Linked DNA regions of Arabidopsis thaliana. The protein of the gene in region 1 interacts with the protein of each later gene in a pairwise test. Each region holds a gene or a part of one and is shown in the gene's direction. Other genes may lie near its edges.

Region 1 (7,193 bases):
TTAGTCTTCTGCTTTTACATTGATGTAAACTCTGTTTAAAATGAAAATAAAAATGTCATCTTTCAGAGTTGTTGGAGCGTTGAATACTTCATGATGCAGAGTGGTGTCATGATACAGAGAGGCGAAGACTTTGTTTATCTTATTTTAGAGACACTTGATGAGAGGTGAAATTAGGGTAGGCTAGGATCTTTAAGGAGATCAAGTAAGTTTCTTTGAAGTTTCCTACAACGAGCCATCCAGAAAAGTCAAGTCACCTTGTCAGTTGCTGTTCTACAGAGTTGTTTACTCTATAATATAGGATCAAGTTTTTCTCCAAGTCCAAAACTCGATTTAGTGAAACAATGTACATCACAAGGAGTTTCTCAGAGTACCGGAGGAATCCAGCAGAGCTAACACAGCCTCCTCCTGAGGGTCCAAATTCTGGAATTTTGGTAATCCAAGACCAACACTCACGGACACGGGCTACATCTTGCTTCGGCTCGTGGTTGGTTGTGGACTCTTCTCTAAGTGGTTTGCCATTGCCCCAAAATCTTAAGCTAGCAGTCACATTCAATATTGGAGGTGATGACAGCACTCGTGACCCAGTTGTGTTCATTCCTGTTCTTGATAAGCCTCTATCTTCAAACTGTTATTACGCTATTAAACGGCATGGGAAGCATTCAGGGTATGAAGTTTAATCCGCAAATCTGAAATTCTTGAATCTTTCTTCTTATATAACCTGAAAAAGTTTATAAAATTTTGGTTGCATTGCAGGGAAGCGTCTGGAAGTGCAAAAGAGGACGATATAGTCTCCTGCTGCTTTTGCTCTAGTTTTGTTCCTGAAGCCAAACCAAAACAGTTAGATCCTTTTGACATGTACCAACAATTCAAGATCCATCAAAAGGAGCCTTCCTCGCGTTGTTACTACGCAACATCTGTCGCTCCTGACGGGGTCCCACCATGGTTTCTGAGGAAAAAAGAGTGGACGGTTGAATACTCGAGGTTCCAAGACTTTGAACTGAGAGATGATGCAAAAGGACTCATCACAGAGCTTCGTACTGAGCTTCCTCTTCTTGGTATGAGCACTGTGGTTGGGAAGTGGTATGTCCCTTTCATATTCGTGAAAGAAAGAGAGGTAAAGGATCAGATCAAGAATTCGATGTATTACAGCATGACTCTTGAACAAAGATGGAAAGAGCTTTTTTCTGATGAGAACGACAAAAGCGAGAACCGTGATGTTGTCGTTGATGTAGAAGTAGAAACAGAAGTTGTTAAGCTTGAGGGACAAATGATTGAAAGAGGTCTGGAAGCAAATGGGTTTGTCTGGTTTGGGGTTGGAGACAAAAAGATCGGTTTAGGATCAGTTGTTGTTGAGAGGATGAAATGGGAAGAAGAGAGATTCGGGTGGACAGGCAAAGGCGACAATGAGCGATCAATGACAGTTAAGAGATTGGAGAAATCAACAGATGGTAGCCTTTGGAAGCATTATCATTGTTATGTTCTGATAGAGAGCTTTGTCTTGAAGAGAATGGATGAGAGTTTGGTCTTAACATATGAGTTTACACATGTAGATAAGCTCAAAACCAAATGGGATTAAGCTTATCACGCAACCAAATCTGCAAAAACTTTCTCAATCTCAATGACATGAATCCATTGGTCAGTGTGATTTATCTATAGCCATTTTCAATTCGGTTTTTTCCGTGTATTGTGTTTTGATATTATCTTCAATCTTTTTGGGTGAAGAAAGAATAAAATATAGAGTTTGTTTGTCTTCTTACTTGTTAGTACTCATCCACAGGAGATTCTGACAAATGTTTAAGTCAAACCTCAGATTATATTTATAAACAATAGCTTAGTAAACTTCCTTGCACGTTCTTATGATCCTTTGTTTTATATAAACGATGACAGGTTAGATCTTGAGTAACAAAGAATCAAGGAGAGATGTATGTAACAAAGCGTTTGTCCGAGTACCAGAGAAACCCATCGGAGCTTACTTTCCTTCCAACGGAAGGTCCAAACTCCGGCGTATTGGTGATTCAAGACGAAGAATCACAGCCTACATGCTGTTTTGGCAAATGCTTTGGTTGTGATCTCAATGGTTTGCCGTTTCCTCAGAACACAAGAGTCACCGTTAAATACCAAATCGGACGTTAGTTACTAGTCATTTCACTCCTAACTTTCTGTCAATCATTTTACTTTACTCTGTTTCTGTTTCTTCTCTGTTTATTATCTAAGCTTTGATTTCACCATAGATGGAGATGACAGAATTGTCTTGCTTGACTCGGTCGCGTTCATCCCCGTTCTTCACCAGCCTCCTTCTTCCAATCTTTACTACGTTATAAGGCGAAGAGGGAAACATGCAGGGTATGATTCTATTGAATCTTTCTCATGTTATGTAGATATCAAAGTTTATCGTTTTAGTTTTAATTAAGCCAAGATTAATAGTTTAGCGGCCTAAATTCACATCTTTTAAAACTTTGATTGGTATTGCAGAGAAGCATGTGTTAGTGCAAAAGAAGAGGACAAAGTTTCTTGTTGCCTTTGTTTTACTTATGTCTCTAATGCTACGCCAAGGCTTCTTGATCCTTTTGACATATACCAACAATTTGAGATACATCAAAGAGGCTCATCAACTCGCAAGTTTTTCGCTACATCTGTTGCTTCAGATGGAATACCACCTCGGTTCCTGAGGAGAAAAGGCTGGACCGTTCCTTTCTCTGCTTCCCAAGACTATGGTTTGATTGATGATGCAAAGGGTGTAGTTGATGCAAAGCTGCGCTATGAGCTTCCCGATTTCGGTAAGAGTGTAGTAGTTGGAAAATGGTATGTTCCGTTTTTGTTTGTAAAGGAAGGAGATGCTAAAGATCAGATGAAGAAATCGATGTATTATAGTATGACACTTCACCAAAGATTTGAAGAGGTTTTCTTCTGCGAAAACGTTGACAATAAAAATTGCGAGGTTATAGTTGATGTGGAGGTAGAAACAGAAGTGGTTAAGCTTGAAGGAGAAAATATTGGAAGAGAGACAAAAGGTGTGAATTCAGATGGAGTTGTCTGGTTTGGTGTCTCAGAGACTCAGAAGATAGGTATTGGGTCTGTGGTCTTGGAGAGGATGAAATGGGAAGAAGAGAGGTTTGGGTGGTCGAAGAAAGGCAATGAACTAAAGTCTAGCATTAAGAGAACTGAGAAATTTGAAGGCGGTGGACCACAATGGAAGAGTTATAGATGCTATGTACTGGTAGAGACCTTTGAACTGAAGAAAACTGATGGGAGTTTGGTATTGACGTATGAGTTTAGACATGTTGATAAGTTGAAGAGTAAGTGGGATTGACTTTATTTCAGCTTCTTTGTGTGTTATGTGTTCAATTTATGGTGTGTTCATTTTATTGAAAGGTTAATGCAAGTTCATGTGTTATGTGGTGAAGCTAACTTGCACAAAAAGGGTGTATACTCTAAAAGGAAAAAAACCTCAAAAGTTTTGTAATTATTTTGTAGAAAAGCATTAGCTAGTGCCAAAGAGTAAGACAGAGTCCCCTGTTTCTTTTGCTTCAGTTTCTTCCTGAAGCTAAGTCACAAGAAGCAGATCCTTATAGTTAGGTCAATCATAATATAAAGAAAATATAGAATTTGTTTGATTGATTCTCCATGATAGGTTTGTGAAACCAGGTCAAGGTCATAACTTTGGAATTCTAAAGTTTGAATTGAACCATAAAGTAAAAAAATTTGAAAAGTCTTCAAACGATAACTTGTAAAATTTGCTTACCGCGTTATCCTCAATACATGGTGCAATATATAAACATATCATATCTCTTCTAATCAATAACCTGATCAAGATTCTGAATTCAAGATGTATGTTACAAGGCATCTCTCCGAATACCAGAGAAACTCGTCGGACTTGACACGATCGTTGCCGGAAGGTCCAAACTCCGGCGTACTTGTGATTCAAGACGAAGAGTCAAAACCGACTTGTTGCTTTGGAAATTGCTACGATGGTGAACTCAAAGGCTTACCGTTCCCACAGAACGCAAAGCTGACTGTGACTTACAGAACCGGAACTGGTAATGACAGGCGCAGTTACCATGACCAGGTTCTGTTCATTCCGGTTCTTGATCAGCCTTATTATTCGAACCGTTATTATGTCATTAAACGACGTGGGAAGCAATCAGGGTATGGCCAAAAATCTTAATTACTTTCTTGACTTTGTTTTGTTTTTTTGAGGTTTTAATCAATTTATGTCATGCATGGTTCGAGATACTTGCTTTTGGGTTTGGTTTTCTTGGGATGGTTTCGGTTTGACCGGATTGGCCACCCCTTTTGACCTGACTTGCACAAATGGTATTCATTAAAAAAAAACTAATTTTGGATTGCAGAGGAGCTTCGGCGAGTGCAAAGGAAGAAGACAGAGTCCCCTGCTGCTTTTGCTTCAGCTATGTTCCTGAAGTTAAGCCACAAGAAGCAGATCCTTATGATATATATCAACAGTTCGAGGTCCATCAACGTAAACCATCATCAGGCTATTACACTGCCACTTCAGTTGCTCCTAATGGGATACCACCAGAGTTCCTTAAGAGAAAGTACTGGACCGTTGAGTATTCGAATTCCCAAGACTTTGGTTTGACAGATGATGCAAAAGGGATCAACACTACGCTTCGTTCCAAGCTTCCCAACGATATGAATACAAGTGTTGTGGTAGGGAAATGGTATGTTCCTTTCATATTTGTGAAAGAAAGAGATGCAAAAGATCAGATTAAGAGCTCACCTTATTACAGCATGACGCTTAAACAAAGATGGGAAGAGGTTTACTCATGCGTAAACGTTAACTACAACCAAAAAGGAGGAGAGGTTGTAGTTGATGTTGACGTAGAAACACAAGTGGTAAAGCTTGAGGGACAAGAAACTATTTCTAGAGAGACAAGTGGTGGTGGATTTGTTTGGTTTAGTGTTTTAGGGGATGAGAGACAAGACAAGAAGATAGGTCTTGGGTCTGTTGTCGTGGAGAGGATGAAATGGGAAGAGGAAAGGTTCGGATGGTTAAACAACGGTGAAAGATCTAACATTAAGAGATCAGAGAGATTTGAAGGCGGGTCATCGCATTGGAAGAGTTATCGATGTTTGGTATTGATAGAGAGCTTCGAATTGAAGAGAATGGATGGGAGTTTGGTGTTGACATATGAGTTTACGCATGTTGATAAGTTAAAGAGCAAGTGGGATTGAGTTTTTTATTCATCTTTGTTCAGTTTCTTTGTGTGTCATCTTTTGGTTCAATAATTAATTTAATGAATAAGTTTTATGCAATTTCATGTAGTAATTAAAAAAAAAAAAAAGTTCGCATTTAAATTCACGTAAATTTCAATTATGAATCATTTATTTGATCATTCTTCTTAAATGTTTTTTTTTTAATATTGTAAACTTGTAACCCTCATTCCAACAACTATGGCCCTCCATTTTTTTAATATAAATCAAGTTCTTTGAAAGTTGCTGATAACGTGTTTTGATTCTACTACCAATTTAAAAGTCTTCACATACGAGTTTAGACATGTTTATAAGTTGAAGAGAAAGTGAGATTGAGAGCTTTTCCAATTTGATTCTCATATCTCCATAATTTATTTAATTTTATGATGTCTCTTAAATTCTGCTTCAAGTTCTGTTTTTTGGGGGCTCTGTTTCAATACAAAACCTCTGTTCTGCAGATTGCTCAAATGAACAATTATGAAGTTAATGGTCATAATTTGGAACTCAAAGTAGATAAAAACTTAAGTTACGTGATAGAATTTAAAAACAATGTGATGTGAATTTAAAAACTGCCAAAAAGGACTTCCATAAAAGCTAAGTCAAAGATCTCGGAAAAGTCTTAAAAAACAATGTTGATTGAGCCGCTAGTGAGATTATTTTTTCTAGTGATTTGAGTCTTGTCTTGTAGGATTCTTGTTGCTTCTCTACCACAACTATATTTTGTAACTTTTGCTCTCTCTTATCTCAATTTCTTAAAGGTTTGAGATGGTAGAGTTACTTGACTTGTGAATTTTTTGGTTTGAGGGTGCCTTAGAAATTGATTGCGTTAGAATGGTTGGAGCGTTGAATACTTGACTGATGCAAAAGGTGTGGACAGAATCTTCATGATGCATGCAGAGTAGTGTCATGATACAGAGAGGCAAAGACTTTGTTTAAACTATTTTATAGATACTTGATGAGAGGTGACAATAGGGTAGGCCAAGATCTTTATGGAGATCCAGTCAAGTTTCTTACAACGAGCCATCCAAAAAAGTCAAGTCACCTTGTGTTCTGAAAACTTGTTGAGTCTATAAAATATGATCCAAGTTTTTCTCCTAGTCTAGATATAAACGATCACTCGATTTGGTTTACTCTTACAAAAATCAGTGGAAATGTATGTTACGAGGTGTTTGTCAGAGTACCAGAGAAATCCAGCAGAGCTAAGACAGCCTCCTCCTGAGGGTCCAAACTCTGGAATTTTGGTAATACAAGACCAACACTCACAGACACGTCCATGTTGCTTCGGCTTGTGTTTGGTTGTGGACTCGTATCTAAGTGGTTTGCCCTTGCCGCAAAATCTTAAGCTAGCAGCCAGATTCAATGCTGGAGAAGATGACGCTACTTGTGACCCAGTTGTCTTCATTCCTGTTCTCAATAAGCCTCTATCTTCAAACTGTTACTACGCTATCAAACGAGTGGGGAAGCATTCAGGGTATGACTTTGAATCTTGAAGATCTGAAATCTTGCATCTTTCATCTTATATAACCTAAAAAGTTTCTAAATTTGTTTTGGTTGCAGAGAAGCGCCTGCTAGTGGGAAAGAGGAAGACAGAGTCCCGTGCTGCTTTTGCTCTAGTTATGTTCCTGAAGCCAAACCAAAACAGCTAGATCCTTATGACATGTATCAACAATTCATGATCCACCAAAAGAAACCATCCTCGCGCTACTACTACGCGACATCTGTTGCGCCTGACGGAGTCTCACCATGGTTCCTTAAGAAAAATAAGTGGACAGTCGAATACTCAAGGTTCCAAGACTTTGAACTGAAAGATGATGCAAAAGGACTAAACACAGAGCTTCGTACCGAGCTTCCCGGTCTTGGTATGAGTGTTGTGGTTGGGAAGTGGTACGTCCCTTTTATATTTGTGAAGGAAAGAGACGTAGAGGATCAGATCAAGAGATCGATGTACTACAGCATGACTCTTGAACAAAGATGGGAAGAAG
Region 2 (6,032 bases), on another chromosome or scaffold:
ATCAATGAGTCTTTCATCCTGAGAAATCAAGGATAAAGAGACATTGTTTTTCCACATAAGAGCTAAGCCACCACTCCTTCCATTAGGGGGCTGAGTTATTACATTAGGGAAGCCTAAATCATATGCTAGTTTACATACTTTATCACACTGGTTTAAGGTTTCAACTAAAAATAAAATATCATAGTTATACATACGGAATAAGCGAAACAACCGTGATTGAGTCAGCGGCATACCGATGCCCTGACAGTTCCATGAGATGATCCTCATATTGGATCCCTTAGGGGTACCGGGCCCCCCGCGCCTCCGTCACGTCCATCATGTATCGAACACGATCCTGCAGATTCAGTCTTTCTTCCTTTCTTGCAAAGTTGACTCAGAACGCCCATTTCGTCTGCAGCTTCCACCTGTTGGTACATTTCTTCAAATCGAACCCTCTTTCTCTTCATGAAGACAAACTCATTTTGTGCATTGTCAGAGGACTCAAGGAGCAGATCTTTCTCAACCGGTGCGTCAGTTTTAACTCCTGCAAGTTTGGCGTGAAGGTAGCGGAGTCTTTCAACTGTGAGGTCTGTGTCCTCAATGACGCATGGAACCGAATAACCATCTGAAAGTTTTTGTACCTGGCGTTGATTCCCCTTTGAAAGCGAAGATTGAAGGCCGGGAATAAGAGTCGCTGGATCCACTGTCTGAAGAGTATCAGTGTCGCTTATGTCATGTTCTTTGTTGTCGTCGTGATGATCGTCATCATCATCAGCATCATCATCATCACTTGTCTCCACCGGATCTTCATTATCAAAGGAAAGGGTGCATGCCTTGATGTCATGCTTAAGGGAGCCACATTTGGTACAGAAATTCCTTAAACGCTCAAAACGAAACTTTATCACAGTGTTTTCACCATCAGCAAATTGGAAATTTCTTTGGAAGCGTAAAGGATCATCCAAATTCCAATTGATTCGAACTCGCACAAAACCCGTATGGTTTGAGTTCTCATCAAAGTCAACATCAGCAACATGTCCTAATCTATTTCCAACACATCTAGCCATTGCATTGGTAAGGAAAAGGAGAGGAATACCGGTGATTTGTACCCAAAAAGGAATGATCTTCATTTCAGCCTCGCTAAGGTTTGGATACCACCGATGAATCGAAAGCATCCAATCGTTGAATGACCACGGTCCACGACGGAGCACGAGATTCATCGCTTCCTCAGACTGGAACTTGAATTGAACTCTGCCTTTGTCAATAATCCGCCCGACGCACGAATCAGGAAAGCCCCAAACTCGTGGCATTTGTCCTATCAAGGCACGGAGGTTCTGTTTGCGTGGATTCACAGTTGTTACCACCAAGGAGAAACGGTTCACATATGCAGCCTGTGAACAAAATTCTGAAGTTAGAGCCACCGGTTCATCATCAATACCCAAGTTCAAATCCTGAACCGATTTACGAAGTCTGTCACTCATGATTGTGGATGACAGTGTTTGAGAAATGGTGAATTGCAGAAAAGGGAGAAGAAGGAGCGAATTGAAGTATATATAAGTTTGTATCCATGGCGGTTTGTGTGGGTAGTTACCCTCCGAAAGTGAAGGGCAATGATAACTGCCATGGAAACTGATTGGCAGAAAGTAACCGCCGTCATAAAACCGTGAAAAGAGACAGATTATGATGGTCGGAGAACTGCTCCGGCGAGGAGAATTGAAACGGTGTGAGTTAGGCAAAAAATCGCCCTCAGAGAGAGAGAGAGCCATCGTTTTAGCATAATTAGTAGTAGTACTTGATTTTACAAGAATTTCTTTTTTAAAAAAAATAAAAAATATTAATAAAATTAGATTTAACACGTCTATATACAAGAATTTCTTTTTTAAAAAAAATAAAAAATATTAATAAAATTAGATTTAACACGTCGATTATCTCTTTCACTCAAAGTATTTGATACATGTGTTAGCAAATTTGAAAATCATACTTTATATTATAAAATTTTTAAAAATCATTAACTATTCATCACCAATCTCTTCACTTCAAGTCTTCAACTCCCAAATTAGGGTTTAACCTTTTGTTTGAATTCTTATTCTGCCCAATGGAAAATGAAAATATTCGAATCAAAGTTGTTCCGTGGGTTTCGTATCTATCAAAAAATATAGAGTCTAAGACAGTCAAAATCTACCTAGATCCAAAAGTGATCTAACTATAAATAAGTCTAAGCCATAACTCATCTATTATACTATACTAGTGAATACAACTATTAAAATTCTTATATATAACTTGGAAGGTCCAAAGATTTTGGATCCATCAACAGAACAATTGGTTCAAATGTAAAAGTTATGAATGAAGCACAAAGTTCCTAACATGAATCGCACATAGCTCCAAACACGTATCGCACCGGTTTAAGAGACTACTAGCCACAAGGTAGGCAATGAGAGTCATTTCACTTTATTTGGTCTAAGTCTTGCGAATTCTCCATTTTCACGACTGATATGACTCGTTTTATATCTAGTCGTCAACTGTACTTAGTTTTGTTCGGGTTGTGAAATTTTCGTGATTGCATAGAATGTTACTCTTAACTTGATGTTAACCGGTTTCTCCATCATCGTGCAAAGCTGGAAACAAATTACAACAAAAAATCATGTTATAGAGCTAAAGAAAGAAAGGATTGAAATCAATATATGTTGCTATTCATGAAATCTTGAGTATATGAATTATTTTTGAAATTTATATTAATTTTTCTATACTTGAGAACATCTAAATATAATATATTTTTTATATTATACATATAATACTTTTCAAGATTTAAAATTGAAGAGTATATATATATATACCAAAAAAAAGGGACAACAGATAAAGATAAAAGGCCCAAATAATCACAAAAATCCTAGAATCGCATCGAACGGTTAGAATCAATCGATATCCATCATATCAATATACACTGCACCGTAGCATATAACAACCCCCTGGGCTTCTCCAAAGTTCTGGAGTCAGAGAAAATGAAGAAGAAACAAGATAACGAAGAACTGTCTCGACTTCTGTAATCTGTATAAAATACTTTCCACTCAAACATATATACACATCTCTAGAAAACAAGCTTAGCTAAAGAAGAAAGATAGAAGAATATGGCAGACAGAGGAATATTCTTGTATCCATTTAGAAGATTCCAAGAATGGTCAAGATCAACGGCTCTGATTGATTGGATGGAATCAAACAACTCTCATATCTTCAAGATCAACGTTCCTGGTTACAACAAAGAAGACATCAAAGTACAGATTGAAGAAGGGAATGTTTTGAGTATAAGAGGAGAAGGAATAAAGGAAGAGAAGAAGGAGAATTTGGTGTGGCACGTGGCGGAGAGAGAAGCTTTTTCCGGTGGTGGAAGTGAGTTTTTGCGGCGGATTGAGTTGCCGGAGAATGTGAAAGTTGATCAAGTTAAAGCTTACGTGGAGAATGGTGTTCTTACAGTTGTTGTTCCTAAGGACACTTCATCGAAATCGTCTAAAGTTAGGAATGTTAATATTACTAGCAAGCTTTGATGTCTAAACCGGGTTAAACCGGTTTTTGGTTTTCTTAAGATGAATAAAATTGGACTTTGTTATTTCATAAATCTAATGAATTGCAGTATGCCAGTATGTAATATTTAGGAATCCAATAAGATGTTAATATTACTAGCAAGCTTTGAAGTTTTAACCGGATTAAACCGGGTTTTGATTTTCATGAACCGAAAGTATTTGAACATTGAAGAATTGTAAAACAAGATTTAAACCAAGAAGAAACCAAAAGCTGATGATTTACATCTGATTGATTCTCAACAAATAAAACAACATCAAGAAACCAAAAACAAGCTTTGTTTTCCTCTAGACCAATGAGCTTGTTGTGTCTGTTTATGTGGCAGTTCTCGAGTGCTTAATGAGCCAATCGATGACCGCATCAATGTTTATCGAGTCCTTACACGAGATCATGTAACAGCAAACCTCTCTGTCTGTTACAGATTCAAGCCCTCTGCATCAAAACAATCCAAAGTCATATACTCGAATCCAGATTGTTTTGTATGGACTTTGAATAAGAAACTTACAGTTGATCAACCAAAGCTTGCTTAGAGAGAGCTTCAGACTTATCGATTTTGTTGCCAAGAATCAGAAGAGGAATGCCATTTAAAGACGGTTTCGTTAGCAGATCATTCAATTCGCTTCTTGATATCGGTACACTATCTCGATCTGCAGCATCAATCACATATCTGCAATATTACCACAGCAACATATACCATCAAAGATTATTAACCAAATAGTAACATGGGATGTTCAAAACATATCGAAGAAGTTTTAAGAGGATGTACACAATGGCGGAAACACCGCGACAGTAACGTTCCCACATGGTACGAAACCTTCGTTGCCCTCCAAGATCCCAAATCTTTATTGTAACATTTCCTTTTGTAACTTTCCTCATGTTAAATCCTACAGTTGGTATCATATCTTCACTGTAACCTCCAGTCTTGACAAATCCAAAGAAAACAAGAAGTGAAACGCGTAAGATTAGATTTGTTCGAGAATACTATTTATCGACTAAAACCTCTGATGAAATTTCTACTCACAGCAATGGCATTGACAAGAGAAGTCTTCCCAGCATTTTGAAGTCCAACGAGTGACAGCTCCATCTCTTGTTTGAAAAACAAGCTGACACAACAAATATAAGCAAACACAGAATCAAAATCTAAGTGTTACCAAAACGTGATTCTGCTATACACTAAAAACATAAGTATAACCAAAAACAACAATACATTACTAACCAACTATAACCTACTCTTTTAACCATTCTATAACATCACATAAAGCATCACTACTATAAATGGATTAAAATGACAATCAAGTCAAGAGAATTAATACACAAGAACATAGAAATAACGGTAGATTTCTCAGCGAACCAATTCATATAATGTAACAATAAAAGATACAGCCCAAGAAACTCAAGAGAAGTTTGAGATTTTGAAACAATAATTGTTGACTCTTTGTGAGAAAAATTGGTTTTTGGCAACGTTTTTACTAAACCCAGAACTATAACTCTAAACTACTTCAATGGAAGAACAAAAGGACTACAACTAATAAACCAACTTAATCAGCAAAACAAAATGAAAGTTAGAAATTTGTTTACCTCCGGAGCCAATTAAGAAGTGAATCCCAAAGACCCATCTCCAAAGATTTGATCTTTTCGAAGATTTAACACTCGAGTTCTGGATTTGGAGATTCAAAATCGAAATATTTCGTAGCCCTAGTTCGATTCTTGAATTTTGCTAGATGGGTAATGAGAGAAACAGAGAGGAAGAGGAACAGGGAAGAATCTGGACCTTACTTAAGGTAATAGAATTTGTCAGTTTGTGAAAACGGTGTCTCTTCCTTCACTCTTGGTGTCACGCTATTGTTGCTTTTAGAATTTTAGATGTCACCATTCTTTTTTTTTTTGTGTGTTCCTTTTATTTCTTTTATGGGAAATTTGCAAAGAATAACTAACAAAAATTTATAAATTAAAAAAGTAATACAAGAAAAAAAAAACAGCTATATTCTCTATATTATATATAATAATGGCATATTTACCTCTTTCTCTCTACCTTATTCTAAGTTCCTCCTTCTCTCCTCTCTTTTTCATCTTTTTTTTTTTTTTTCTCTCAATCTCTTCTCTTTTTTTTTTCTGTATAACACAACAAACAAACGAAAAGAACAAACTAGATTTTTCAGATACCACTTATGTTATCTGATTGCTTGGGTTGCCAAAGTTGTATCTTAGGGTATAGTTTTCTATACATCCAAAATAGTATAATACAACATTTTATTTCTATCCAAAATAGTACAAGTCTTTACTTACAAACACTACTTACTATTTTATAAATTCAAATTCGATTTTAAAAATTCAAACTATTTTGTATGTAGAAAAAAACCTATGTTTTTTTCTAATAAATTTTATAATTGAAATCTATTTTTTGGAAAAGATTTATAGCAAAAAAAAATAAATAGGTGAAAACTAAACTAAGTGTTACTAAATCATCTCACTTCCAATTCAAC
Region 3 (6,680 bases), on another chromosome or scaffold:
AAAGATTCGGAAACGAGGGAAAAAAAAAAAATTGGGGATTTAGGAAAAAGATGGCTTCGAACCCGAGACCTCTGTAGTACTGAATAGCTGGATAACCAAATGACTTAATAGCGCTTTTAGTAAGTTAAGTCAATCTTTATATTTATAGCTTTGGAAATTACAATTATTATTTTTATACATTCTTTGTGAGAAGTAAACACTTCTACGTGTGTATATGTGATTGGATAGACATTTTTAGATTTCATGTCTAATTTTTTGTATAAGTATATTTTCATTAAGGTGTATGTAGAAATTGCATAACGAAATTTGTAATACACATTAACACATGGCTTCAATCGTATATATCTAGAAGTAGAAGACTGCGTCTTGAATTAGATAGCGAGTTCTGGCATCAACAACAATCCAGTTTGCAAAATGTGCAATGTGATTAACATTTTAATTACATGTCCTAACGTTTGAGTTATTAGAGAAACATTATCTCTGTTCTTCAGTCTTTTGGAGAATATGGACCCTCAAGCTACTCTCCTTTGCCTGTTAAAAGAAAATTATCTCACCATTTTAGCCTATGGAGCTTCCACATCCAAATTGAACCAATAAAAAACAAACCATTCAAGTTATAGATAAAACTACCGGACCGGTCACATATATATAATGAAATTAGGAGATAATGAATTACCGTGAAGAGAGGAATGGATAAAAGGCTCTCGTCCATTTCTTCAAAATATAACAATTCTTGATTGAACATGCCGATCAATTCTGTCAGCTCATAGAGGATTATTTCAACCTGCTGATATTTAATCACCCAAGACATTCTTAAATTAATTTCTTTTACATGTATCTATACAAAAAAAGTTAGGAAAATGATCTGTATAGATAAAGTGGACTTACTCGTGGGAGAAACTTGATGATGACGTCTTCGATCTCGTCCATGACTTCTATAGCTATGACCATTTCTTCATGTATCGACACCATATCTATCTGTAACTTCCAAATTATTAGTTTCTGCTTTCTTGACAAATACACAAAATGTTTATAAACAAATTGGTTTCCCAAAGAGAGAAATTCTAACCGTGGCACCATGTACGAGGGGTAATCGGACAGACAAAGCATGGAGTTTTCGAGTTAGCTTGCTCAACGCTTCGGAGTTTTTTGCGTCTATTTTTGACCACTCATTAAGTAAAGGCATTTGGAGGCTGAGAACTTCACGTACTTTGATATCTTGACGGAGCCTTTGAATTTCAATCAAATTTTCTACAACGTAGTTCCTCATTTTGTATATCCTAAGCCAAACCCAAAACAACTGATCCTGAAACCATTCACAGAAACAAATTAATAGATATTTATAAGATACAAATTTAAATATTTTTCATATAGTTTTTGTACCTCAACGTTGATCTTAAGGTTTGCCATAGTGGCTTCAGTTCTTGCGTTAACAAACCTCCATTGAAGTAATCTGTTTTGAAAAATCCTAAACCGGTGATAATCCTCCTCTTGTACCGGAGATACTTTCTTCTGCGCCATGAAGTACTTCAAAACTCCTGCCACCGCTCCACCGCCACCGCTTCTTATCTTGGCCTTGCTTACGGGTGACTCAGGCGGCGTCATGCACATTGAAGTCGTCGGAGCTGAGCTGGACAGAGGCGTCTTCATAGTCGAAAGTCTTCCAGGAGACAACGCCCACGCCGATGGTGAGCTGGCTCCCGGCTTTACCCCTCTCGATGAAGCGTTACTACGAGGACTACCACGCGTACGTTGCTCCAAGTACCGAGCAAACGACTCTCTGCTTCTACCGTTGTTTATCTCTTGAGATCTTGATGCGCTGTTTCTCGCCGGGATTATGTTCTCGCCGGATTTAGAGTCGGATGATCCGATGGGTCTGGAGGATCTTGTTGTGGACTGTGATCTGGTTATCATCACTCGTTTGCTTGAATTGGAAGGCGAAGAGGAAGAAGATGAAGAAGTAGAAGACGATAACGAGGCGTTTAAGGACACTGGGAGAGAGATTGAAGAGCTTATAGTCCGGCTCCGGTTATTATTGGGCGATGGAGGACGGAGTCTCCGACCGGTGGTTGCCATTTTCTTCTTTAATATATGACGACGGTTAACTATATGACTATATCATACAAGACTTATATTCGGTTTCGTTTCTCGACTCACTTGCCCCTGTCCTTAAGACTCTTATAGTAAAGCTGGAATTATATGGTTCAAGGAATCGTCTAGTCTATATACACTGGTTTGAACAATTGTGATATATAATATAGTTAGGGGTATATTATATTTAATCTGTTAGATAACGGTTGGGGTACTTGAAGATCTGTAGGAGTTGACAGCACGTAGAGGCAGAGGTAAGAACACTTCTGCATGTAGTGTGTCTACATAATAAAATATAGAGTGTATTTTTTACACACACCAAAAAGAGAGATTATAATTAATGTATTATGTCAAAGCATATATGAAGGTCAGCTTAGCTAGAGACACGTCTTTTGTTTATCTCTCGACTAAACAACATGGCGTTTTAATAAAATCAAAACTTAAAAGGTCCAATTCAGAACGGCCCCATAGTATATAGTCTACGTTGAATAAATAAACCTCAAGATAGCGTCAAACTCTTTAGTCTTTACCCAAAAATATTTTTTTTTAAATAACGTCAAAACTCTAAGTCTTGACCTCAACACCAATATATATTTGCCTTCTCCAATATCTGATTTTTTTAATTGTTTATCCGAGTCTTCTTGGTCTTTTCGAATGTTTGCCCGAACCAGACCTTCCCACGTTCGGTGGTTGGTGGCCGCCTCGGCCTTTGGTTGATTTCTGTCCACATTTTGGTCCTTTTCATTCATGTACCATGTTCTAGGGTCATTTGACTTGTTGACCATAAATCTACTAAAACAGGCCTAATACCGATGGGCCGTAGCCCGTTAATAAACAAGACAATTTATATTTGTTTCACTTAGCTTGGGAGCCACGGATCTCTAGAAACATCCAGAGAAATATCAATCTCCCCACTTCTCCAGAACATTCACTCACTGACAATATCCCACCTTCAACACTTAACTCCTGTATATAGTCCTCCCCTGTCTCCAGTTTCGTCGCACACAGTTCTCAGATAAATACTAAACTCACTGTTAAAACTTTCTCAACAAAGCTTCCTGTTTCTCTACAAATGGCATCTGCTCTCGCTCTTAAGAGACTCCTATCATCCTCCATCGCTCCACGTTCCCGTAGTGTTCTTCGTCCAGCTGTTTCCTCTCGCCTCTTCAACACCAACGCCGTTAGGAGCTACGACGACGACGGCGAAAATGGAGACGGCGTTGATTTATATCGCCGCTCTGTTCCTCGCCGCCGTGGTGATTTCTTCTCAGGTAACAAACCAATTGTTTCGCTTTTCCTCCAGATCTATGTCTCTCTGTTGTTAACGTAGCGAAAATCTAGTAAGAAAACAGGTATTAGCTTACACTGAGCTCAAAATCTTGACATGATTGATTGTGTCTTTGTGTAGATGTGTTTGATCCGTTTTCGCCGACGAGGAGCGTTAGTCAAGTGCTGAATCTGATGGACCAGTTCATGGAGAATCCTCTGTTATCAGCTACTCGTGGCATGGGAGCTTCAGGAGCTCGTCGTGGTTGGGATATAAAAGAGAAAGACGATGCTCTGTACCTGAGAATCGACATGCCTGGGCTGAGCAGAGAGGATGTGAAGCTGGCTTTGGAGCAGGACACTCTGGTGATTAGAGGAGAAGGAAAAAACGAGGAAGATGGTGGCGAGGAAGGAGAGAGCGGTAATCGGAGATTCACAAGCAGGATTGGATTACCGGATAAGATTTACAAGATCGATGAGATTAAGGCGGAGATGAAGAACGGAGTGTTGAAAGTTGTGATCCCGAAGATGAAAGAACAAGAGAGAAATGATGTTCGTCAGATCGAGATCAACTAAAAACGTCGACGTTTTTTTCTGTTCTAGTTTTGTTGATAGGTCTTTGAATAAGAAGTGTGTGTAGTTTGGCACGGTCGATGTTGAGTCATGTAGTCTCTAAAGACTAAAAGGTTATATGTTTCTTTCTTGAGACGGTGGTTTTTTGTCTTGCTTAAACCAAAATTTGCATTCCAAATCAAAGCACTAATTAAATAAGTTCCTAATCGTGTATTCTTTTAGCTAACTCGGTCGGTTTACATGCCTTTGTGGTTATGAGACTGGAGCTTATGGAACGTATTTGGGTTTAAAATTTTCTGTAGACTAGGAACTAGGAAGACTTTAAGACGAATTCTGAGGCTGCGTAAGTTGTCGACGGACTGGTCTATTAATAACGCGTAAAAGTGTTAGGCCCGTTCGAGTAGAATAGCGCGTTGGACAGCCCAACTTGAATGAATCGATCGACTTTTATTAAAAAAACAAAAGTAGGGCAAAAAACAAAAAACAGAACCTCGACATTAACCTAAACCTAAGAGCAAAGCAAATCGACGGCGACGGGAAAATAGAACCGCAGATCTCTGTCTCCTCTCTCTCTCGTAACTGTTTGTTCGATGGCACCGAAGAAGGCGGAGGAAGTGGTCGAAAGCCCTCCTGTTTCCAGTGAAGAAGAAGAATCTGGCTCATCTGGAGAAGAATCTGAATCTTCTGCTGAAGTTCCGAAGAAAGTCGAGTCTTCGCAAAAGCCTGAATCTGACTCTGAAGGCGAATCTGAATCGGAGTCCAGTTCTGGGCCCGAGCCCGAGTCCGAGCCTGCTAAGACGATCAAGCTGAAGCCTGTTGGGACTAAACCAATTCCAGAGACGTCTGGATCTGCCGCGACTGTACCTGAGAGTTCAACGGCTAAGCGTCCTTTGAAGGAAGCTGCTCCTGAAGCTATTAAGAAGCAGAAGACATCGGACACTGAGCATGTGAAGAAGCCGATAACTAATGATGAGGTTAAGAAGATTTCTTCAGAGGATGCTAAGAAGATGTTTCAGAGATTGTTCAGTGAGACGGATGAAATCGCTTTGCTTCAAGGTATTATTGATTTCACATCTACCAAAGGAGATCCTTATGAGGATATTGATGCTTTTTGCATTTATGTGAAGAAACTGATCGATTTCGATGCTACCAAAAACCAAATTGTTACTAAACTTCAGAGGTTGAAGAAGAAGTTTAATAATGCTGTGAAGAATTCTCTTAAGAAGGGAAAGACTGAAGATGATATTGAGTTTGCTAAAGATCTTGAGCAAAAAGGTTTTGAATTGTCCAGAAAGATTTGGGGAAGCAATGGTGTTTTGGTTACTGGTAAATCATCAAGGAAGAAAGTTGGAGGAACACCTGCACCGAAAGAGATGAAGTTAGTAGCTCACTCTACTCCCAAGAAACAACAAGAAGAAGCGAAGAAACCGGAAAGAACAGAGGCAAAGGTTGTGAACACAGGTCTCTCCATTGGTAAAGAGATTGCATCGTTCCTCAATGCAGATAATGGGAGTTCTTGTGGTTTGGATGAATCCACATTAACTGCGGTTTGGGCAAAGGTTGCGGATGGAGCTGAGAAGAGAGAAGTGGAGGAGAAATGGAAGAAGCTTAAGGCTAAGCAGTTTGAGCTATGTTTGCAGAGGTCTGGACTCGTGAATGAAACTGCAAAGATGATATTCAAAGCCTATGAATCTTGAGCGGTTTGTCTTTTTACTTTTTTAGTATGCATCTTTGAGTCTTTTTTGTATTGTGCATTTTAGCTTGTGAAACTAATCCTTATGTAAGTCTTTTTTCGTATTTTCTTTATGCCCCTATGTTGGATGTTTGGTTTGGGTATATGACCCTTTTATTTATTACTCTTGTTCGGTTTCTATGATATTAGACAGAAGATGGAATAGCCCTATTAGTTCTTTTATGTTAAAAGCTGTGAAACGACTTAAGCTGTGAAACGACTAGTCAATGTGTGTTATCATATGCATTCCTTGTGAAGTTCAGCTGGTACCGGTCTGCACAGTTAAGAGGCAAACTCATATGTGTTTGCAATTTGCATATTGATAAGATACTAGAATGATACCTGCACCGAGTTAATGTTCTGCAGAATCATGTAGATCGAGTTTCTACCGCTCTCCCTGTCGTGGAGAGATGACAGCGTTTTTTGTCGCATTTTTTTCACATCCTGTTCCAGTGTTCTGTGAGCTTTGATCTCCAGTCGAACATGAAAAAAGCAACGTACTAATACTTGAGGCATGACTGTATAATAAGGTCAGAGCTCTCCTTATCTTGAATATGTTACAAGAAGAGCAGGGAGTATGTTCAATCAAACATTAAACTAAAGGTAAGCTATCACCAAACATGAGATCATGATCACCTCTCAAACAAGCAGAAAAATGGTCTTTCAAGTCACTAAATTTCGCAAAAATATTTTTACAAATAAACTTCACGAGTTGTTGTCACATCCTAAAAGGAAAAATTCTTGCAGATTCGAGACTGTATCTGGGACAAGGAGAACATAAAGATAACCCACACAAGTTGTACAGTATAAAATTACCATTGTATAATAACTGATTTCTAAACAAAAGTCAAAAACTAAGCATTTTAATATGCTCAATATCTTTACAAATTTATTTGTTGACATCTTCCTATAAACTAGACAAATGAATTCGGACACTAAAATGAAGTATCATTCCAAAGAATGTTTGTAGTTTTGTAGATAAATTAAACAATTAACGAGTTCAATTTTTGGATGAAGA
Region 4 (9,795 bases), 480 kb from region 1:
AACAATGACTTGGTTATACAGATAAGGATAGGGAATTATCTGAAGGACAAGCTGAAATCAAAGCTTTGAGGTTGTCTGAACGACAAAGAGAGAAGGCTGTTGAAGAGGTTTATGCCCTTACACTTTAAGCTTCCATTACATAAACAAAGTATTTAGCTTGAGTGGCATTGTGATATTCCTATTTATAGAATATGTAGTCATGTAGCCTGAGCTTGGTTTTACTTGTTTGGAATTATGTCATATAAAGTTTCTCTCTTTACACTCTCTGTGTACTGACTTCTCTGCTATTTTATTTGAGTGCTGAAGCTCACTGAAGAGTTGGGAAAGATGGCGGAAAAACTCAAACTTATTGAAAATCTTCTTGAGAGTAAAGTATGCTTCTAATATCTCCTTTGTTCTTTGATCGCTTATTTATATTGATTCTATATATAATGATGTTGTATGTTGTCACAGAACCTTGAAATCAAGAAGATAAATGAAGAAAAGAAGGCTTCCATGGCAGCTCAGTTTGCAGCAGAAGCTTCTCTTCGTAGGGTTCATGCTGCTCAAAAGGATGATGACATGCCTCCAATTGAAGCTATTCTTGCCCCTTTAGAAGCTGAACTGAAACTTTCGAGACAAGAAGTATTTTCCTTCCTTTGAACCAGAATTACCTTTGTATAGCTCGATTCAACAACTTACGGGACATTTAACAGCTTTCTCATATGGGTTTACATGTTTTGATTGGTAGATTGCTAAACTTCAAGACGACAATAAATCATTGGACCGCCTAACCAAATCAAAGGAAGCAGCTTTGCTTGACGCTGAAAGGACAGTTCAGTCTGCATTGGCAAAGGCTTCAATGGTTGATGATCTCCAGAATAAGAACCAAGAATTGATGAAACAGATTGAAATTTGTCAGGTATGTCTATATCATTTCTTTTACATATTGGAACACCAGAATAGGGTATCTCTTCCTTTTCTTACCACTGTGGTGGCCTTATTTGTTGATACATTGGTTAAAATAGGAAGAGAATAGAATTATAGACAAGATGCACAGACAGAAGGTTGCAGAAGTTGAAAAGCTTATGCAGAGTGTTCGGGAATTAGAAGAAGCTGTTCTTGCTGGTGGTGCAGCCGCAAACGCAGTGAGAGATTACCAAAGGAAATTCCAAGAAATGAATGTATATTTCATATGCTTCTATAGTACCTCAATAACTTACTGTTTTTCTTGTTAGTGTTTTGGTCTCGTACTGATCGTAATTGTGGTGTTTTGTGTTTTCCTTAGGAAGAGAGGAAAATCCTTGAACGGGAATTGGCCCGTGCGAAGGTAAATGCAAACAGAGTTGCTACTGTTGTAGCTAACGAATGGAAAGATTCTAATGACAAAGTGATGCCTGTAAGGCAGTGGCTTGAAGAACGTAGATTTTTGCAGGTCATTGCTGATACATATTAATATTTAAATTCTCTTGCTGCTTCAAATTGTGATTCATATTCACGGAGATTAACTTATACTATTGCCACCACCGTTATGTTTGGACAGGGAGAAATGCAACAACTACGCGACAAACTTGCCATAGCTGACCGAGCTGCAAAATCTGAAGCTCAGCTGAAGGTAGAATCATAGCTGCGGGACACCATCTTATTTTTTTTAATCTCCTAACTGAGGAATTGCTGCTTTTACTTATTTTTAGGAGAAATTTTTACTGCGGCTTAGAGTGTTAGAAGAGAGTTTAAAGGGGCCTACGAGCAGCAGCAGCAGAGGCACATCTGTTGGTAGAAGTTCGAGCAACGGGCCTACTCGAAGACAATCCCTTGGTGGAGCTGAAACAAGTCCAAAAATTACATCAAATGGCTCGCTGATTAAGAGAACACCAAGTTCTCAGTTGAGATCATTGACTGCTAGTGCAAGCACTGTATTGAAGCATGCGAAAGGAACATCAAGATCATTTGATGGGGGCACCAGATCATTGGATAGAAGCAAAGTGCTAATAAATGGACCGAGATCGAATTTTCCTTTGAACCACAAGTCTTCTGAAGGAACTAGCAGAGGCGAATCGCCTAGCTCAATAAAAGGGGAAGAAGAATCAGCTGACAAGGCAACAAATAATGATAGCGTCCCAGGTGTCTTGTACGATCTGCTGCAGAAAGAGGTCATAACATTAAGAAAAGCGGCGCATGAAAAAGATCAGAGCCTGAGAGACAAGGACGAAGCGATTGAGGTTTGCTAGTGTTTGGCCTTTTTTCCTGTTCTTTGCCGCCTTTATATGAAATGTTGTATAATATAAGTCTAAAGATATGGGTTGTGTATATTTAGATGTTGGCCAAGAAGGTTGAAACATTAACAAAGGCGATGGACGTTGAGGCAAAGAAGATGCGAAGAGAAGTAGCTGTAATGGGGAAAGAAGTTGCTGCAATGCGTGTTGTTGATAAAGGACAACAAGATAGTAAGACCAGACGTCTCTCGGTCTCAAAGGGAAACACAGCTCAGCTACTTTCTGGAAGGTATTAATGTATTATCATATCAACTACAATAAGCTTTATTATTACCTTTAGATGTCATTATTGTTTATGTATTTTATCATTTGGTAGAGTGTCTGGACGAATCGGGATGACGAGGAGCACACAGTGACAAACTGATTCGATCAATCACTGGTTGGTCTCTGTGGCTTGCCTTAAGGTTCTTGTACCAAATTGAGAGAAGGGATTCAAAAGCCGAAAGAGATAATCGTGTAAAGTACCTGATTGATTCGATGTGTGTTTCTCTAAAGCATTCCAACATTCAAGGTAAAGGGAGACATTGACTTCACTTAGCTGATATATTTCTTACTCTGTTGCGTTATGTATAGTAGTACTGCAGTAGTAGAGGTAGGGTTGTTTTGTTCAACATTTTAAGCTTTTTTACTCTCTTGTTTTGTGTGTGTCACTCTCTCCTCTTAGTTAATTTTCTTATTAACCTCGATTATATTGGTAGCCTAATTTTTTATCTTTAAAAGAACTCTTCTTGGTGTTCAAAAAAAGAACTGGTAAAACCCAAAAAAGCTATATACAAAAAGAGAGAGAGATAGAGTTAATGAACACCACATGAGTTATAAGAACACCATCATTGAGATTTGAGAAGGATATTTACAACATTTGTAGTCAGACTTTATTGGGAAAAAAGTACATTTGTAATGTAATCAGGTCTTAATGATAATTAGTAGTTTTGACTTTTGAGTAAAAAAGAAAGAAAAAAAGAACATAACCACATGAATTGAACCGGTTCCGTATCATTGACCGGTACGCGTTTAGCGACGTGGGATTTGATATATTTTCACTTTCGGTCCAAAAGTATTATATATTTGAGCAAGTAGTCCTACTTTTTTGGTTTGAAATTGTTTTTCCCATTACCGTTCTCTGCTCCATTGGGTTCTTTCCTCTTTTCTCCCAGATTCATCAATCCCTCCTGCTACCGCGAGAGAGTAACAACTCACCGGACGTTTCAAATCCATCCTCCGATAACTATATTCGTTTCGTTAGATCTAGATCTGAGCGTCGGTGAGAGATTTTCTGGATCTGTGATACGTTCCAGGAAACATGGCGACGATGAAAAGTTTGATAGGTCTGATAAACAAAATCCAGAGGGCGTGTACTGTCCTCGGAGATCATGGCGGTGAAGGAATGTCGCTTTGGGAAGCTCTCCCAACCGTCGCTGTCGTTGGTGGCCAGGTTTGATCTCTTTCTATTGAATATACACATTTCTACGTTAAGATCCGATCTCACTTCTCGCCTCTTCAATCTCCACGTTTCTGATTTATCATTTTTGTTTGGTTGATATTGTGGATCAGAGTTCCGGAAAATCTTCAGTTCTAGAAAGTGTTGTGGGAAGAGATTTTCTGCCTCGTGGATCTGGTAATTTTACCTCTCGTTAAGCAATTTTGTCTAGTGTCTTCGATGTTTGGAATTGAAATTAGGTTTTCGGAATTTCGTGCTCTTATTAGTTGCTTCGATTTCAAACAATTTAGCGAAGCTCTGTGATCTTGAGAGCATTACATGAACATTTTGACTACTTCGAAAAACATGAGACTGAAGAAGGAGACCATCTAAATTGATACCATTTGATTTTATCAGGTATCGTTACAAGGAGGCCATTGGTGTTGCAACTTCATAAGACTGAAGACGGGACAACTGAGTACGCTGAGTTTCTTCATGCTCCTAAGAAGAGATTTGCTGATTTTGGTAGTTTGATTGAATCTTTCACGCTAATTGCTGGAAACAGTGAAATCGACAAAGGCATGTCGGGCTAATCTAAGTGTTATTCTCTTTTCAGCTGCTGTGCGGAAAGAAATTGAGGATGAAACTGATCGTATTACTGGGAAGTCAAAACAAATCTCAAACATTCCAATTCAGCTGAGCATATATTCTCCTAATGGTTTGTGCTTAAGACCACATTTCCTGTTATGCATTCCTATTGTAGTTAGTTCAGAAACCAACACCGTAAATTTCCTATATTATTGATAGTTTGATACCAGCTGTAATGAGATAACGAGTAGTACAATTAGATTTGAAGATTCCAATTTTGCTAACCTCTTCCATGTGACTTTGATTTCTCACTCTACTCTTTTCTCTACAGTTGTTAATCTGACGCTCATAGATCTTCCGGGTTTGACCAAGGTCGCTGTAGGTAAGAGTTTACTATTTTTTATCCAGTAGCTTAGCTTGTGCTTAAACTAGTTACTGATATGAATCTTGTGCTTAAACTAGTCACTGATATGAATATTATTCGTGTAGATGGACAACCGGAAAGTATTGTCCAAGACATTGAAAATATGGTCCGGTCTTATGTTGAAAAGGTCAGTCTTGCTCTAAGCTATTACTGAGACGGTTTCGGCAATCTTTTCAACTTTTCCAACCAAGTTGAACAGAAGAATGCATTTGATCATCATCACTCACTATAATGTCAACTCTGGAAGCTTATCCATAAAATCTTTTAACTGCAGCCAAATTGCATCATATTGGCTATTTCTCCAGCAAATCAAGATATTGCTACCTCAGATGCTATAAAACTTGCTAGAGAAGTTGATCCTACAGGTACGACCTAAATGTAGTTTCCTAATAACTGGTAAGTAGTGACTTTTTACACTCCACAACATTTTCTTAACCTTCTAATATATTTCTGTAGGCGAAAGGACTTTTGGTGTTGCAACCAAGCTTGATATCATGGATAAAGGAACAGATTGTCTAGATGTAAGCGTCTTTCTTGATTTCTGCACCTTGGGGTGTCAACTAATTCTGTTACTTGTTTAATATATTGTGACACCTCCTCTACCTATTTGATGAAGGTTCTTGAGGGAAGGTCATACCGTTTGCAACATCCCTGGGTTGGAATTGTGAATCGTTCACAAGCTGATATTAATAAGAGAGTCGATATGATTGCTGCACGTAGAAAAGAGCAAGAATATTTTGAAACAAGCCCTGAATACGGGCACTTAGCCAGTAGAATGGGATCAGAATATCTAGCAAAACTCTTGTCTCAGGTACCCTTTGGATTTACTTGCACAGATCTCGTTTAAATTAAAGCTTGAATGCTTAGCTTTGACTTTCTTCCTTCTTTGTTTTCCTCTCTATTAGCACTTAGAGACTGTTATCAGGCAGAAAATCCCCAGTATTGTTGCTTTGATCAACAAAAGCATCGATGAGATAAATGCAGAACTTGATAGGATTGGGAGACCCATTGCAGTAGATTCAGGAGTAAGATTTTAAACCATTAAGTAATTGGAATTCAGAGTTGCATCAGAATCGTATGGTTAGTCACTCACTAAATATATGATTTCAGGCCCAACTTTACACAATTTTGGAACTCTGCCGGGCATTTGATCGTGTCTTTAAGGAGCACTTGGATGGAGGGTAAGTGATTTAGTTATTCTACTTCTTATTCGTAAAGCTTATAACTTCTTGTTGGTGTACTATTACATTGCGACTGTGATGATCAACTTGGAGTCTATGAATTTTTTTAAGAGATAGTGTCGTTTCCAGAGTAATGTGCTGCTCTATAATGAATTTTGCTTACCTTCTAGTCAGTTTCCAGACTAAGGATGTGCAGTTTTAGTAAAAAAATTACATCAATGACCTTTTCATAGATGTTTGCCAGAAAATGCTTCACATAATTTCACAATGTACGTCCGGTAAAGTTGGTCTTCTGACAGTCATTATGTTGTTTGTATCAGACGACCTGGTGGAGACCGAATTTATGGAGTTTTCGACCATCAATTACCAGCAGCCTTAAAGAAACTTCCCTTTGATCGACATCTGTCTACCAAAAATGTTCAGAAGGTTGTTTCAGAAGCAGATGGTTATCAGCCGCATCTTATTGCTCCTGAACAAGGATACAGAAGGCTCATTGATGGATCCATAAGCTATTTCAAAGGACCAGCTGAAGCCACTGTCGATGCAGTATGCTTCCAAAATTTATTAGATTGCATTACTTTTGAGACTTAAGTTTTAGTAAATTGACTATATTCTTGATTGCTGTTTGATATTTCCTAGGTGCATTTCGTATTGAAGGAGCTGGTCAGAAAGTCAATTTCAGAAACAGAGGTAAGAACTGACAAGATGCCTTTGGTTTTGAGAACTCTTCCTAGCTCTTTACGCTCTGTTTTAGTCCTAACATACCATTGCTGTTTTTTTCAGGAACTGAAGCGTTTCCCGACTCTAGCAAGCGATATAGCAGCTGCTGCAAATGAAGCTCTTGAAAGATTCAGAGACGAAAGCAGGAAAACGGTTTTGCGTCTGGTGGATATGGAATCTAGCTACCTCACGGTTGAGTTCTTCAGGAAACTCCATCTTGAACCCGAGAAAGAGAAACCAAACCCAAGGAATGCCCCAGCACCAAACGCAGACCCCTACTCCGATAATCACTTCAGAAAGATCGGTACGTGTCTCTCTCGCCTCCCTTTACTTAGAAATGATACATTATCAAGTCTTTGTTTGTTGACTTTGGATAATTCAGGATCCAACGTGAGTGCATACATAAACATGGTCTGCGACACATTGAGAAACTCTCTTCCCAAAGCTGTCGTTTACTGCCAAGTTAGAGAAGCTAAGAGATCGCTTCTCAACTTCTTCTACGCTCAAGTTGGCAGGAAAGAGGTAAACTATATTATTACCCTTTGGATTATTTTGTTACCTTGTAGAAAATGCCATGCCCAAATCGAGAATAAATTTAAGAAAAATGATGGTGCAGAAGGAGAAGCTGGGTGCTATGTTGGACGAAGACCCACAGCTGATGGAACGAAGAGGAACCTTAGCTAAACGGCTAGAGCTTTACAAACAAGCTAGAGACGACATCGATGCAGTGGCTTGGAAGTAAGGGGGTTTGCTAAGACATATTCTTTATATTGTTAATTTCTTTGTTCGTGTGGGCACACTGCATTATAATAGATATGTTTGGAGTTCTAACTTCCAGTCTACACAAACATACACGCGACTACTCATGTTTTCTTGGGTCGCTAATTTCTATCACAACTTTCCCACTTTTTTTTGGTGTGTATCTTCGATTCTTGAATACTGGTTTTTAGAACAGTTAAGACATATTTTGAAGTCGCACTCTTTACATTAGACAAAAAGGAAGCTAATCTTTGATTTTTATTCAATTGGTCTCCACTTGTGCCATTACTGTATTTGGATCCAGTTCAAGTTTAAAAACAAATAGATGACAAAGAAGCTAATCTTTCTTGAAAATTTAATGTACATCTCATGTAGATAGAACAACTTATTAACCTAAAGGACTTTTCTTCTGTCACAAACAATAAAAATCGTTAGAACTGAATTTCCAATGCTCAATTAAGAACAAGCAGCTAAATGTATAACCGTTAACAAAGCCTGTTTCACATGGTTGATCAGAAAAATGATTAAAAGAACTTTAAGTAAGCCTTAAGATTCGGGATTTAGGAGTTAAAAAGCAATGTAATCATCACAGCTGTTTTAAATCGTCAAAGTAGTAGAAACAAAAGTCAAAGAGAGAGCTTCAACTTCCAGCTGCCCATTAATTGCAGCGAGTTGGGGAAAGGCTTATTGAGTTATTTCTATCCACTTACCGTAGAGACAAGTACCCAATACTTTGTCTGTTTCTTCTTCCTGTGGCTTCTGGGTCTTTGTCAACATCAAAGCTCTTTACTTTTTCAACTTACTTTATCGTGCGTCTGTACGGACCACAAAAGGCTCTCTCTTTATTTCTCTGTGAGATTTTTTTAGGATCTGAGAGAGCCAAAGATCATGGAGGAAAGCCAAGAACTTGCCTTGACCCAGTTGAGAAAATCGGTCGAGAAACTCTCTTCTTCTACTGAGGTAATCTAATTCGACGCTTTAGTTTCATTACAGTTTACAAAGCTTGCATCTTTTGGCCGTTTCATGAGTTTCACTGACAATGTCTCGTTAGAAAATGAGAAATATCTGTCATTTGATTTTGATGGGTTTTATATGGGCTACACTGTTAAAACTCTGTCTCCATTCTCGTCATAGTGGTTTGTCTGATTAGGTTTGAGCCTCCCATCAGAAACCCTAACAGTAGAGACAGTTTAGTAAAAGTGAATCCATAATCAGAAAATCTCATCAATGGTTTTTGTTGTTGTTGTTTCCTCTGAAAAGGGATATGACAAACCAACATTGATGAGGTTCCTGGTGGCAAGATCAATGGACCCAGTCAAGGCAGCAAAGATGTTTGTAGATTGGCAAAAATGGAGAGCCTCCATGGTTCCTCCAACTGGATTCATCCCTGAGTCAGAAGTGCAGGATGAATTGGAATTCAGAAAGGTCTGTCTTCAGGGTCCGACCAAATCCGGACACCCATTGGTGCTTGTCATAACCTCTAAGCATTTTGCTTCTAAGGATCCAGCTAACTTCAAGAGTAATCACCTCTCACTTGCTTCTGACCTTTACTTTCGTTGGAAATAATCTGTCCCTTGACTTTCAGTGACTTTTGTATTCATAGAACTGATCAGCTTCTTTCCTGGTTCTCTAATTATTGAGTAGTTTCATTTGACTTCAAATGAATGAAGTTTTTTGAGTCCATCTATGTGTTTTCCTTGAGTTGATTCTTGCGATAATTATCTATGAACTAATCTTTTATCTGTTTGATGTTGCAGAGTTTGTTGTTTATGCGCTAGACAAAACAATCGCAAGGTGTTTACACATTATTGAAACCAAAACACTTCAATAATCTTCCGGTTAGTTGGTTGTGAGACAAGCTTTTTGGTTTTTATGTTTCAGTGGCAACAATGGCAAAGAAGTTGGAGGTGAGAAATTAGTAGCCGTTATTGATCTGGCAAACATTACATACAAGAACCTTGATGCTCGTGGATTGATCACTGGCTTTCAATTCTTACAAGTAAGCATCTCCCTTCTTCCTGAAACAATATAGTTATCACACAAAAAGAAGTCCTGTCTATTAAATTTGGAAAATGTTTCTCTAGTCTTACTACCCGGAACGCCTTGCAAAATGCTACATTTTGCATATGCCCGGATTCTTCGTGACCGTTTGGAAATTCGTCTGCCGTTTTCTAGAGAAAGCAACTCAGGAAAAGGTTTGATCTTTAATCTCCTCTTGATGTATCTATCTCTAATGGTTCTTGAGCAACGAATCACATAAATTATGATTTTGCTGTTGCATAGATTGTGATAGTTACGGATGGAGAAGAACAGAGAAAATTCGAGGAGGAGATCGGAGCAGATGCTTTACCGGAAGAGTACGGTGGCCGAGCTAAGCTCACAGCAATCCAAGATGTTCTTCTTCCTCAGGCTGCTCCAGTAACTCTAACAAACAATAATGTTTAGCTCTTT

The links.
Region 2: the proteins of AT1G13520 (region 1) and AT5G37670 interact in a two-hybrid assay, tested with the Arabidopsis thaliana proteins (one large-scale study listed by BioGRID).
Region 3: the proteins of AT1G13520 (region 1) and HSP23.6-MITO interact in a two-hybrid assay, tested with the Arabidopsis thaliana proteins (one large-scale study listed by BioGRID).
Region 4: the proteins of AT1G13520 (region 1) and DL1C interact in a two-hybrid assay, tested with the Arabidopsis thaliana proteins (one large-scale study listed by BioGRID).

The regions. Positions count from the first base shown.
Region 1 is NC_003070.9:4,629,857-4,637,049, reverse strand, and holds AT1G13520 (hypothetical protein (DUF1262)), read left to right. Parts: upstream 1-3,750; 5' UTR 3,751-3,826; coding exon 3,827-4,146; intron 4,147-4,349; coding exon 4,350-5,193; 3' UTR 5,194-5,417; downstream 5,418-7,193. Other genes in the region: AT1G13540 (hypothetical protein (DUF1262)), read left to right, coding at 342-664, 754-1,576; AT1G13530 (hypothetical protein (DUF1262)), read left to right, coding at 1,921-2,128, 2,232-2,343, 2,473-3,310; AT1G13510 (hypothetical protein (DUF1262)), read left to right, coding at 6,363-6,682, 6,769-7,193.
Region 2 is NC_003076.8:14,965,934-14,971,965, forward strand, and holds AT5G37670 (HSP20-like chaperones superfamily protein), read left to right. Parts: upstream 1-2,824; 5' UTR 2,825-3,101; coding exon 3,102-3,515; 3' UTR 3,516-3,658; downstream 3,659-6,032. Other genes in the region: ARLA1A (ADP-ribosylation factor-like A1A), read right to left, coding at 3,864-3,981, 4,055-4,216, 4,316-4,470, 4,571-4,652, 5,128-5,165. UniProt on the Arabidopsis thaliana protein: Possesses chaperone activity.
Region 3 is NC_003075.7:12,913,926-12,920,605, forward strand, and holds HSP23.6-MITO (mitochondrion-localized small heat shock protein 23.6), read left to right. Parts: upstream 1-3,000; 5' UTR 3,001-3,163; coding exon 3,164-3,362; intron 3,363-3,499; coding exon 3,500-3,933; 3' UTR 3,934-4,185; downstream 4,186-6,680. Other genes in the region: QWRF7 (QWRF motif protein (DUF566)), read right to left, coding at 475-531, 677-787, 889-978, 1,070-1,306, 1,384-2,076; AT4G25210 (DNA-binding storekeeper protein-related transcriptional regulator), read left to right, coding at 4,521-5,627.
Region 4 is NC_003070.9:5,105,231-5,115,025, reverse strand, and holds DL1C (DYNAMIN-like 1C), read left to right. Parts: upstream 1-3,279; 5' UTR 3,280-3,555; coding exon 3,556-3,687; intron 3,688-3,806; coding exon 3,807-3,870; intron 3,871-4,089; coding exon 4,090-4,197; intron 4,198-4,288; coding exon 4,289-4,390; intron 4,391-4,591; coding exon 4,592-4,642; intron 4,643-4,749; coding exon 4,750-4,811; intron 4,812-4,958; coding exon 4,959-5,049; intron 5,050-5,140; coding exon 5,141-5,205; intron 5,206-5,300; coding exon 5,301-5,495; intron 5,496-5,589; coding exon 5,590-5,709; intron 5,710-5,794; coding exon 5,795-5,865; intron 5,866-6,185; coding exon 6,186-6,411; intron 6,412-6,504; coding exon 6,505-6,555; intron 6,556-6,648; coding exon 6,649-6,889; intron 6,890-6,967; coding exon 6,968-7,107; intron 7,108-7,201; coding exon 7,202-7,327; 3' UTR 7,328-7,610; downstream 7,611-9,795. Other genes in the region: MAP70-4 (microtubule-associated proteins 70-4), read left to right, coding at 22-107, 307-372, 454-624, 731-901, 1,008-1,163, 1,268-1,414, 1,523-1,594, 1,674-2,201 and 2 more; AT1G14820 (Sec14p-like phosphatidylinositol transfer family protein), read left to right, coding at 8,233-8,304, 8,605-8,863, 9,102-9,138, 9,226-9,343, 9,429-9,539, 9,628-9,789. UniProt on the Arabidopsis thaliana protein: Microtubule-associated force-producing protein that is targeted to the growing edges of the cell plate during cytokinesis. Also plays a major role in plasma membrane maintenance during pollen maturation. Has a GTPase activity.